Drosophila melanogaster: one gene and its partners. The gene in region 1 interacts genetically with each later gene. Each region holds a gene or a part of one and is shown on either strand. Other genes may lie near its edges. The genes, in order: up, Tm2 and Act88F.

Region 1 (3,760 bases):
CTCACATCATAATCTTTCAAATTCAAGAAGAAAAAAATAAACGATAAATTCCGTACGCTCTGCTCTAAAATTATTTAATTTCCCATGCTATCTATATCCACAATCTATAACTGTGTGTGTGCGAAGGAGAGAGTCGTAGTCCAATCTATGTATGTGTGTTTTTTCATTTTCCTCCGATTTTTTCTCAATTAAAAATAGACTTTGGGGCAGTATTGAATTTCCCGAGAGCCGAAAGCTTCCGAAAACATCAAAAAGCTTCGGACAAAGCCTTTTTTGAAAATTTTCGTTTTTTTTTTTACCTTGGCACTAAATCGGAAAATCTAAAGAAGCTTTTCAATTTATATATGTATATGTATTGATATATATTTGGGCGTACTTGTGTGTAATGAAAAGAAAATCAAATCAAATGCCATTCATAGATCGCCTGTATATATCTATGCCAGTTATTATGCCACGAATTTATATATTTAATATGCTATTTGAAATTTCTATGATTATGAATATTCTATTTCTATAATCTTTGCACTTTTGCGTGGAAGTGCAATTGCTGAGCTTGTATTTTTAGCCTTAGATAAACTGGGTCAGTTTTGGGGCAAGTGCTTGGAAATGATGTGAAATGTATTGAGAAAAGTTCTGGAAAAATTGAACAAACTTTTCAATTGAAACTGGTAATGATCTAAATATCATCCGACAGACTATCAGAAATATACGTCTATCGTCTTTTCACACTTACATATACAAAAATGTTACTGATCATACATGTTAGTTTCAAAAACATGGTTTTGAATCTTACTTTTTGTCTTTTCAAGTTCAAAGTTTGAGTAAGTGTTAGCTACTTCCTGCCTAGCAACATAAAACTGTCATATGCTGTTTTTATATCCTGTCATTATATCCTTATCGAATTTACTCTACAAATTTCCCTTTCTTTAATTCAATCTATCTGTGCCCTGTTTCCATTTATAGTCCTATATATATCCTCCAAAAATCTCCAGATCTCTATTCGCCATCGATCTTGTGTGGGTGGCTATAGTTCCGTCTCGTTTTCGCCTACTATATCTTTAACATATCTGATCGGCGCCTGCGCGGAAAGCTATTGAAAAAAGTTTTCACTCTACGTATCTGTGTGTGTGTGTTTCTCTGTGTGTGTGTGTGTGTGTATCTTGGACATTTTGCCAAGGTAAAAACACACTCGCTCGCGCACACATACGAATCGAATTTATTTTTAAAATTCGTCGAAAAAAATTTGAGAACTTTTCCTCTCAGATCATATAACACTTTCAGAAAGCAAAAAGATATACATATATGTATATGTATATTTATATGTATAGATTCCTGTCTGGCATTGTTGTTGCTTTTGATTTTGTTGTTGTTGTTGCTGCTGCGGCTAATCCTGTTGTTGTAGTTGCCGTTGAATATTGTTTTTGGCGCCGCCAATGCCTGGGCGAATTTTTTCAAATTATTTTTAGCCTTTAGCCATAATAAAAAAAAAAAGTTTAAAAAAAAAAAATTTTTTGAAAAAGTTGGCTTCAGAGTTCGTTTTTTTGGTGGCTTTCAAGTCATTTATTCGCACTATTTGTTCGTAGATTGCACTTTAAAAAAATTTCAAAAAAAAAAATAAAATGTTATATAACACTAGGATTTTCCAATTCGTAACTTTCTTTTGTTGATGTTCGTGGTTCGTGGTTTATTCGCAAAGGATTCGGTTTTCTCGTTTTCGATAACTTTCTTTTCGTTTTTAGGCACACAAGTTTATTTTATATTTTCTTTTTATTTTTTTGGTGATGCAGCATTTGAAGGAGATGTGAAGCAGCAGTAGAGCAGAAACAGAAAAAAAAAAACTTACTTAGGGAGAAAAACAAATTGAATTGAAGTCCGAGCAGCTGACGTCGTAGGAGCGAATGCTGCGGTTCGACTAACCAAACTGACGATGAAAAGCGCTGCTACACGTTATGTTAAAGAATTTTTCGTCGCGTTCGCGGAAAAGCCATTTCCACGCACACACCGATCGCCTTTCTATATAGCCAATAGCTGGCCATGTGTGCGAGCAGGCCAGCGCTATATGCCACATATCGCTGGCCGATGTGGCAACAAGTGGGTGGTGGTGGGTGCGCCTGCCTGTGTTGGCTGTGTTCGATGTGTTTTGGGTGAATTTTTCAGGTGGGCTGCAGCTGAAACATAAACTTGTACACGCACACAGCCGCCGTCGAGTTTTCCAATTTTCCATTTTGGCCAGAGCGAGATGAGGCATACGATATTAGTATATACTATACATTAGACCATAATGGCGCACGCACATAACTAGATCATACAATAAGTATATAGCGCATACGGACGTTCGGTGCGTTGGCGGCATTTTACACATTTGTTTTTGGAATCAAATATCGTAGAGCATAAATTTCACAGCCATTAAAAAGTCGGCCTGCATATATTGCTCTATAATATATACGTACAGATGTTCGTGCCGATATATAGCACATATAGTTTGGATTCCTCAGCGGATCGTTGCAGCATTTGAACCCCAGAGTGCACGCCCTACAAAATCTCCAACCCAGTCCGCCGCGATCACCGATCACCCCCTATATATATATATATATATATATATATTTATTTACCTATATCTATATCGCGATCGAACTGCTGACGTCGAACGGCCTTAGGTGGCCCCATCGCATTGCCATTTGTCTAACACTTGAATCTATTCGTCATTGTTCCGATTTTCTTTTTTTATTTCTCTCCTTTTTCTATGCTATTTTTTTTATTTTACTTTCTAACAGATACTTTTGGCAAATAGTTTCAGATACACTTACGCGCCTTGCAGCACTTTAAGCTATCGAATTTAATTCATTCTTTATTGGGTTATTTTTTCGAAGCATACAAAATCAATTTGAAGAATTTGACAAAATCTCTTTTTCCTATATGTAAATTTTGCCAAAAAAATTAATTTTTTCATATCGTTTAATAAACATCATAACACATAAGAAATATTTGTATTAAGTAAGGGTAGTGAAACATATTTTGTTCTGTATTTAATTTTGTTTCTGTATTCTAGTATTAATAAAATTAAAATAAAGCAAAAACTTACAATATTTTAAAAATGTACTTTCATCAACATCGATTTCCGTTGTTTTTTTTTTTGCCAAATTTTTCATAAAATTAGATATAAATTCTAGAAGAATATAAAAAAAAAAAAAAATTTTTAGTTTTTCGCTTGCACTTGTATCTTCTTAAATTATTAATACTGCAAAAAAAAATATTTGGGCTATCTCAAAGTTCCTCAAAATCTGGGTAAAAATTTTTATACATACATGATTACATTATATATGATTACATTACATTATATTATGATTACATTACATTATATATGATTATAGAAAAATTAATTTAAGACTTCTCTTAATTCCTTGCATAAACAAGTTGTTCAAATAAATAGACTTCTGTGTAAATTAAAAACATGCGATGAATATTATTTTAAAATTATATATATTACAATATTCTCCAATAGTAAAATTACTATATAGTCGCAAAGTTTCGGCATTTGTTTTGATTTCGTTTTTGGTTACCAAGTATCTTAAATTTAGAACATTTTTGTATCTGCACCTCTGCGAAATGCAAAATGCACACACCAGATACGCAGATAGATAGATATGTATGCATAGATAATTAGATATGTATGTGTATGTGATATGTATGGGTCTAGGTATTATGCATGGCTTGCCAAAAACCACAAAACTACAGAATCGCAATGGGACACAGGTGGGCA
Region 2 (3,760 bases), on another chromosome or scaffold:
GAGCATTCTCAAAAGATCTCACGTAATTTTCATTTTCCATTTTCAAAACGCCCACTCAAAATCCGAATCCGGATCCGTCGGTGAGCTATATGTTTATATGTTTATTTGCTGCACGATTCGGTGGGGTTAAAAATAAACTTTATATGCTTTTGCATGTGAGAAAAAAATATCCAGTCCACTCGCACACACACGCATAGGAGAAATGCTTTTTTGGACATTGTGTGCTAAATGTAATTCTAGAGTTTCCCCCTATTATTTCGAAATACCCCACATATATATGTACATAGCTCGCCACCGATTGCAATTTGAAAAGTATTCAATTCTTTGGGGTCATTTGGTGTGTGGGCGTATTCGTATTCGAATTCGTGTATCTATGTTGCTACCACCCAAAGTGGGGCAAAGTCATTTATGTTGTAGTTGCTGATCTTTTGGAGGTCTTGCGATACTCATGTGTGTTTTGTACCCAAAAAAACATAAGCAATGTTTAATATGTGATTTATGAGGTAAAAAGGATTTCTTTCTAAAGACTTTAAATAACTTATAATATGTTAAATAGCTACTTAGTTTTCACATCATTAAAATTTTTGGTGATTGCCAAAGGTACTTGGGCTTTCAATCAGTTCGAATATGTATCTTAAAGATGGCAAATTTTGCGGCCTTCGGACGCATTCACGAATGGCTAGAAATATTCGCTCTGAAATCTACAATTCTGTGTGGGTGGCTATGCCTTGAATATATATATTCCCAGATAGATACCATATGTATCCGCATCTGGGAATCGTCTACGTCTCTAATATTTTCCAAAATATCTCTCTCGAAAACAATCTCAAGGATAAATACCTATAGTTCTCGACTGCCTTCGTTTTCTGAGATCACAGAAAGCTAGACGGAAAAGCTTTTTCGTATAAATTTCAGGCAGAGTTAAAAATAAATGCGTATGTCTGTGTGTGTGTGACAGGCAGGTGTCTGTCTGCAGTTAATTTTAAAGAATTTTCTTCGAGGAAAACTTTATCGGTCGAGTGTGATTGTGTGTGTGAAAATTGTGCGTGCCATAAGTGTGTAAGGTGCATATGTATATGTGTCCCATTCGTGTAGAGCTTTCCGAATGAAGCTCATGTGTGTGTGTGCAAAAAAAAATTCTCTCACACACACACAGATATTTATTGGATGGTATTGGTGCCGTCAGATTTAGTTACAAAATTCCTTATAAGCGAATTTTGAAAATATCCGAAAAATGATCATAAGATCTCCATTTTCAAGTAGTTTAGATCGTTCATTTTAAGTTTTTTAGAGATATTCATTTTTTTAGTTATAGCAATTTTCACTTCCATTACATTTGGATCACTCATTTAACTTTTTGTAGAACTTTATATCCAGGCTAATTGACACATATACATATGCACATTTTATTTAAGTTTAACAAGGTTTTCCTTTTTTTTCCCGTTTGGGGAAAATTCAAAATTTATAATTTTGAATGCCATGCACTTATCACAATTTTGTTATCCACTCGAAATCCAGTTGAAAATACCAATTTGGTTAGCAGCAAAGGCGAGCGATTTAATTATATTTATTTTGAGTTAATTCTTGTCGGGTGAAAATCCTGGCGTGACCAACCTTAGCGTTTCAAACACACTATACGCTGTCGAAACCCCGAGAACACTGATGCTGACCAAGTTGCTTAGCCCAGAAAGCGACCCCAAGATCCAACGCACACGCACACTGCCACTCGGAAAATCGGAAAAACTCACACACACTGAGGGCACACACCAACGCGGTATTGAATAATTTCTCGCCTCAAAAATTTCCCATTAATAAATGTATATGTGGAATGGCGCTTTCGCAACTTTGCTCGGCGATCTCGAAAATTTCCCTCGAAATTTCCCCCAAAAGCTGCTTCATACGATGCTCTCTCTTTTGGGCTGCATTCTCGTGAAATTTATGCGCTTTTCTTTCTGCTTCTTAAATCTAAATTCAATTTATATTTTACTCACAGCACTCTCGCTGTCTGTGTGTGTGCGTGTATCCGTCAGATACACGGCCAAAAATAGCCACAAGCAGCAAGAGCAAAAGTCCAACAAGATGAAAATCTATTTTCGCTCGGTAAAAAAATATTGAGAAATATTTGGAATTTTGATCGGCCAGCGTTTTCCTGCCGTTCTTTTGCTTTCGAAAGTCTCGAATGCAAGGCAATTGATCCGATTTTCTTGTGTGTTAATTGTCCCCGTTCGATTTTTTGCTAAAACAAAACCACTTAACTTACTATATAACTGAAGAATAAAATCTATAATTTATTTATTTTAATAACCAATTAAGTAACGATATGGAAAAATTGTTATCAAAACTCTAAACTAAGAAATTCTATAGATATATGTATATTTTTATATAGGTATATTTAAAAGATAAATATATATGGTGGGTTTTATTTATATGTCCGACCTCGCTAAATCCATTTAGCAATTCATCTCAAAATCCAGTTCAATTTTCTTCTTCTTTCAATATTTCTGTGACGTAACATCTTCTTTAATACTATTATATATCAAGAAGATTCCACCAAATGTCTCATAGTCTCTGGATTACACTTATATGTACTCCCGATCTTTTTATTCTCGTTCAGCAATAAATTTTACTTAAAAGCCAAACCTACATAAGTCAATAATATTGTGCACTTTATTTATAGACTTTTATAACTTCAAATTTTAGTTGATTTATAGCTCTTCTTGATTTAGGAAAATGTTTGAAACTTCATATTTTCAAAACTGTTCAAAAACAACTAATTGGCGAGCAAACGTATTCAGTTTTCAAATTCGATTTTTCAAAACCCTTCTTCTTTAAGCTTATTTTAAACTTTTTTTATATATGTAGCTCCAAAGAATATTTAATGTTGAGTTAAAATATCACACATGTGACAAATATGGTTATTCCAACACAAATAAAAACATCCTATAAGTTTTGGGATATAAGCATGATTTGATTTTGATTTCAATATTAACTTTTAATAAGGATACACAATATTCCGGCAGATTGAAACCAACAGGACACTTTATGTCCTTTATATTCGATTCATGATCAGTGCATATTTTTATTATTTAACTAATGCAACCCACCGTTTAAATAAAAAATCCATGAAATTTTTTATATGCAAAAGAATGATTTCAGTTTATTGATCGTAAAAATATTGAGTTGAAAAAGAAAAATACATACATTGTTATATTTGTTTTGCACGCTTCATAGAATTACAAAAGCTATGACAAATGTGTAAATTTAATTTATATGTCTTCGTTTATATATTCTAATAATATATCTCCTATTCTTGTTGTTTAAACATATACAAAGGCCATAGAAATTTTGTAGATACACTTCGCGAACTGCCATAAAAACACACAAGCAACAGAAAGTTGAGAAAAATTGACTCTGGCTTAAGCGTAACTGAGTTTTTTATTTGAAGATGCTGATTAACGATATTGAGTGGTGGGCTTTCTGGGGTTTTGTATTCAAAATATTACACATACTTTTTCGAGCTGGAATTTTAGTTTCAAGGAAAATGGCAGCGTTTCTTTTCGTTACACAACTCGTTTTAACTTTAGGCTCCATATAAATTTCAATAGTAATTGCTAAAAATGTATTTTTTACTTTATTGTAAAACTCTTGCTCTTATGTAAGAAAGTTGTTTTTTTTTTGGGAATGCTTAGGCGAAGAAGTGTTATGCTAAAAATAATTTGTAATTCGGACGTCGAATGCGTTCGGACTCCATTTGTCTTCA
Region 3 (3,760 bases), on another chromosome or scaffold:
ATGGCCATGAAGGATGAGCACCGACAACCGGAGGTTGCCTCTGATTATCTGCTGTGAATCTGAGTTGGATGATAATTGTTGTGCGATGGGTTCGCTGCTTTTGTCTATCACTGTCCGAGCCGAGGTTGTTGGGTAGCTCGATGGGTGCTTGTTGGTCGCTGCTGGTTGCTGCCTTTGAAGAGCTTTCGCGGCGGGCGAAAGACTTAAAAGCATTTGCGGTGAACGATTCCGGGGCCGGACTCGTCGTACTCCTGCTTCGAGATCCACATCTGCTGGAAGGTGGACAGCGAGGCCAGGATGGAGCCACCGATCCAGACGGAGTACTTCCTCTCGGGTGGCGCAATGATCTTGATCTTGATGGTCGATGGGGCCAGGGCAGTGATCTCCTTCTGCATACGATCGGCAATACCTGAAAGTGCACCAAAGGATTAAGCACAAGTGCAACTGCTGAAGCGAATGATTTGTCTTACCAGGGTACATGGTGGTACCGCCGGACAGCACAGAGTTGGCATACAGATCCTTGCGGATGTCCACGTCGCACTTCATGATCGAGTTGTAGACGGTCTCGTGGATGCCGCACGACTCCATGCCCAGGAACGAGGGCTGGAACAGAGCCTCGGGGCAGCGGAAGCGCTCGTTGCCAATGGTGATCACCTGGCCGTCAGGCAACTCGTACGACTTCTCCAGCGAGGTGGAGGCGGCAGCGGTGGCCATCTCCTGCTCGAAGTCCAGAGCCACGTAGCACAGCTTCTCCTTGATGTCGCGCACGATCTCACGCTCGGCGGTGGTGGTGAAGCTGTAGCCGCGCTCCGTCAGGATCTTCATCAGGTAATCGGTCAGATCGCGACCAGCCAGATCCAGACGCAGAATGGCGTGGGGCAGGGCGAAGCCCTCATAGATGGGCACGGTGTGGGAGACACCATCGCCGGAGTCCAGCACAATACCGGTGGTACGACCGGAGGCGTACAGGGAGAGCACGGCCTGGATGGCCACGTACATGGCCGGCGAGTTGAAGGTCTCGAACATGATCTGGGTCATCTTCTCGCGATTGGCCTTGGGGTTCAGTGGAGCCTCGGTCAATAATACTGGATGCTCCTCGGGGGCCACGCGCAGCTCGTTGTAGAAGGTGTGATGCCAGATCTTCTCCATGTCGTCCCAGTTCGTGATGATGCCGTGCTCGATGGGGTACTTCAGCGTCAGGATACCGCGCTTGCTTTGCGCCTCGTCGCCCACGTACGAGTCCTTCTGACCCATACCCACCATCACACCCTGGTGTCGGGGACGACCCACAATTGAGGGGAAGACAGCACGGGGAGCGTCATCACCGGCGAAGCCGGCTTTGCACATGCCCGATCCGTTGTCGATAACTAATGCACCCGCATCATCGTCACACATCTTGGCAGTTGTTTATCTGGAAGGGAGATGGAAGTGCACTCGGTTAGCTCGATCTGTCGATTATATATGTAAAGTTTTATAGCTCCCACCTACATCTCAATTCTTTAAATTCTACTACTTTAATGACAACATAGAAAACTAATTTGTGTCTCAAGAAAATATTTAACTTTTTAAGATATTGAAGAAGTGAAGTGAAACTCTATTGTCCATTTGAGCACATTTCAGTAAATAAAACCATGAAAAATTGCCAAAATTGGTATATTCCATTTCCTTTTGACTCATGCTAATATGGTTATTCACTTGAAACTAAATCAGTGCTCTATAAATATCGGAAAAGAATAGTTCATAGAACTTAATTTAAACGTATCAAATTAATTGAAAATACGTTTCGTTGCAATTACTCTTCACTTTATATTTAGATATTGAACTTTCGAAGACCGATTAGTGACTTGTAGAAAAATCCATCAAACAATCCGAACTTATTAAAAAGAGTTTTAATATCCTTAGTCCTCTTGGCTTTTTCTGTAATAATCCTTGGATCCTTCGACATTGAGGTCGCACTCACACACCTTTTAGGTCAACGAAAGGAGAAAAATTGGATAGAGTCGCACGTTCGATTCCTGTTGACAACTAGATTCAACAACAAATGGCACGCCGATCGGTCTGTCCTGCCTTTATATCTCGGCTCTCCCTCGAAGCGATTTGAGTTGGATGCCAGTGCGGCACTGAGAAAAAGATTGAGCGAAAGTGCTGCGGAACAATCGATCCATATAAGCAGTTTTCAGACTTCTGGCCGAGCATGTCAGAAGTTTGGATGCCTCATTGCACGAAGACGACTCATTAATGCGCTTCACAAAAAAAGGAAGCCACACAATTAAATACTTAATAAAGCATAGAATCATTTATTAAGATTACCAATAAATTCAATAAACGAGGGAATTTCCAAACTACGAAAATATGACATTTTATATTTTTTTCACATTGTTAGTAGGTACAAATCCTAGAAAAGGGTCTCATAACATATAACAGCTTAAATAACTATGTAGTAGAAGATAAACTTTATCTTCAATTCAGTTCATATTTAATCCTAGAAATATTTAATTAATTGACAATATATGATAGAAGTAAGCTATCAATCTTAGGACCCTATTCATTATTTGTAGGGAGTGCCAGGAGAGAGAAAGCTCTCGAAAGATAAGAGAACGCCATAGCCGAGTGATTAGCAGAGGTGCGTGATAGTCGGAGCATGGGCCATCTAAACGGCAATCAGCACTCTCGAGTGGCCAATTAGCCCCATCTCCGTCCCCATCTCTGTCCCAATCCTGCTGCCAATGGGCGACTGCTGCGGCGGACGACTCATTCGGTGCTGAGAGTTCGGAAAATAGAAACGGACCTTAGAAGGACCGACGCAAGACAATTGGCATCCGCGGCAGGGACTGGGAGAATGGGACATTTCAACGGGCACGCAGCGAGGCGAATCTAAAATAGACGCGCCAAGCAGAGCGGCACCTATAAATCAACATCAAGGTTGATCGAGATCTCCGCGCGCGGTGCTCGAGGAAGCTGCATCCACATTTGCAATCGCATTCTACAGAATGCTGCTGCACTTTGCATTGCGGCGCCGATGCAATCCCGAAGATGCGAAATCACCGTGCCGACCATTTATCAGTGCAATTAACCAACCATTGCCAGCCAGACCGAGCGAAAATGTATTTTCTCAATCGAACTGTATTTATCCTTTTATGTAGATTTAATTATTTTTTACTTCTTTCTATTTACGTTTTTATTGCTTGCCCACATGAATAATCGAATGCGGTTGGTCTAAAGATAGGATCTGATTGCTCGGAAGTGAATTGGTGGCATTCCCAAAGCGTTTTATTTGGTAATTGCCTTGATTGACATCGTGTATTGAGCAAGAGGTTAGTGGCTGCGAACAGAATTGTTCACCATTCTTATCTTTATTTTTTAATTTATGAAAAGTCATTCAACCACTGAATTGATTGGGCTCACCATTTATTTAAAAATTCATATCTTAACTAAATTTGCCTATTGTGCATTCTAGATATTTCTGAATTATACTTTTATTTCGGCAAATTGATATAATTGTGAAAAATATTTTAGAAATTTAAGTGTTTTTTTAAAAATTACACTTCTACTGCACACTTTTGTTCTCTTTCTATCGAAAGATAAATTAGTAATTAATTAATTTAATTACTATAACATTATGTAAACATCGTTAAATATTTGTATACCTATTTGTACGGTTTCAGGAATAATTTCTATTGGATTTGTATTGATGTACGTAAGAATTTCCCACGATTTATTTATTTGAATATTTCGTAGTCGAGACAAGAACCATAAACTA

Evidence for each region.
Region 2: of up (region 1) and Tm2, changing one suppresses a phenotype caused by changing the other (phenotypic suppression), as found in Drosophila melanogaster (one study listed by BioGRID).
Region 3: of up (region 1) and Act88F, changing one suppresses a phenotype caused by changing the other (phenotypic suppression), as found in Drosophila melanogaster (one study listed by BioGRID).

The regions. Positions count from the first base shown.
Region 1 is NC_004354.4:13,600,575-13,604,334, forward strand, and holds the start of up (upheld), read right to left. Parts: upstream 2,005-3,760; 5' UTR 1,844-2,004; intron 1,792-1,843; exon of another isoform or gene 1,655-1,791; intron 1,081-1,654; exon of another isoform or gene 794-1,080; intron 1-793. UniProt on the Drosophila melanogaster protein: Troponin T is the tropomyosin-binding subunit of troponin, the thin filament regulatory complex which confers calcium-sensitivity to striated muscle actomyosin ATPase activity.
Region 2 is NT_033777.3:15,308,154-15,311,913, reverse strand, and holds the start of Tm2 (tropomyosin 2), read right to left. Parts: upstream 1,670-3,760; 5' UTR 1,615-1,669; intron 1,238-1,614; exon of another isoform or gene 841-1,237; intron 1-840. UniProt on the Drosophila melanogaster protein: Tropomyosin, in association with the troponin complex, plays a central role in the calcium dependent regulation of muscle contraction. May also regulate motor systems required to maintain nuclear integrity and apico-basal polarity during embryogenesis.
Region 3 is NT_033777.3:15,438,251-15,442,010, reverse strand, and holds the start of Act88F (actin 88F), read right to left. Parts: upstream 2,043-3,760; 5' UTR 1,965-2,042; intron 1,412-1,964; 5' UTR 1,396-1,411; coding exon 471-1,395; intron 410-470; coding exon 204-409; 3' UTR 1-203.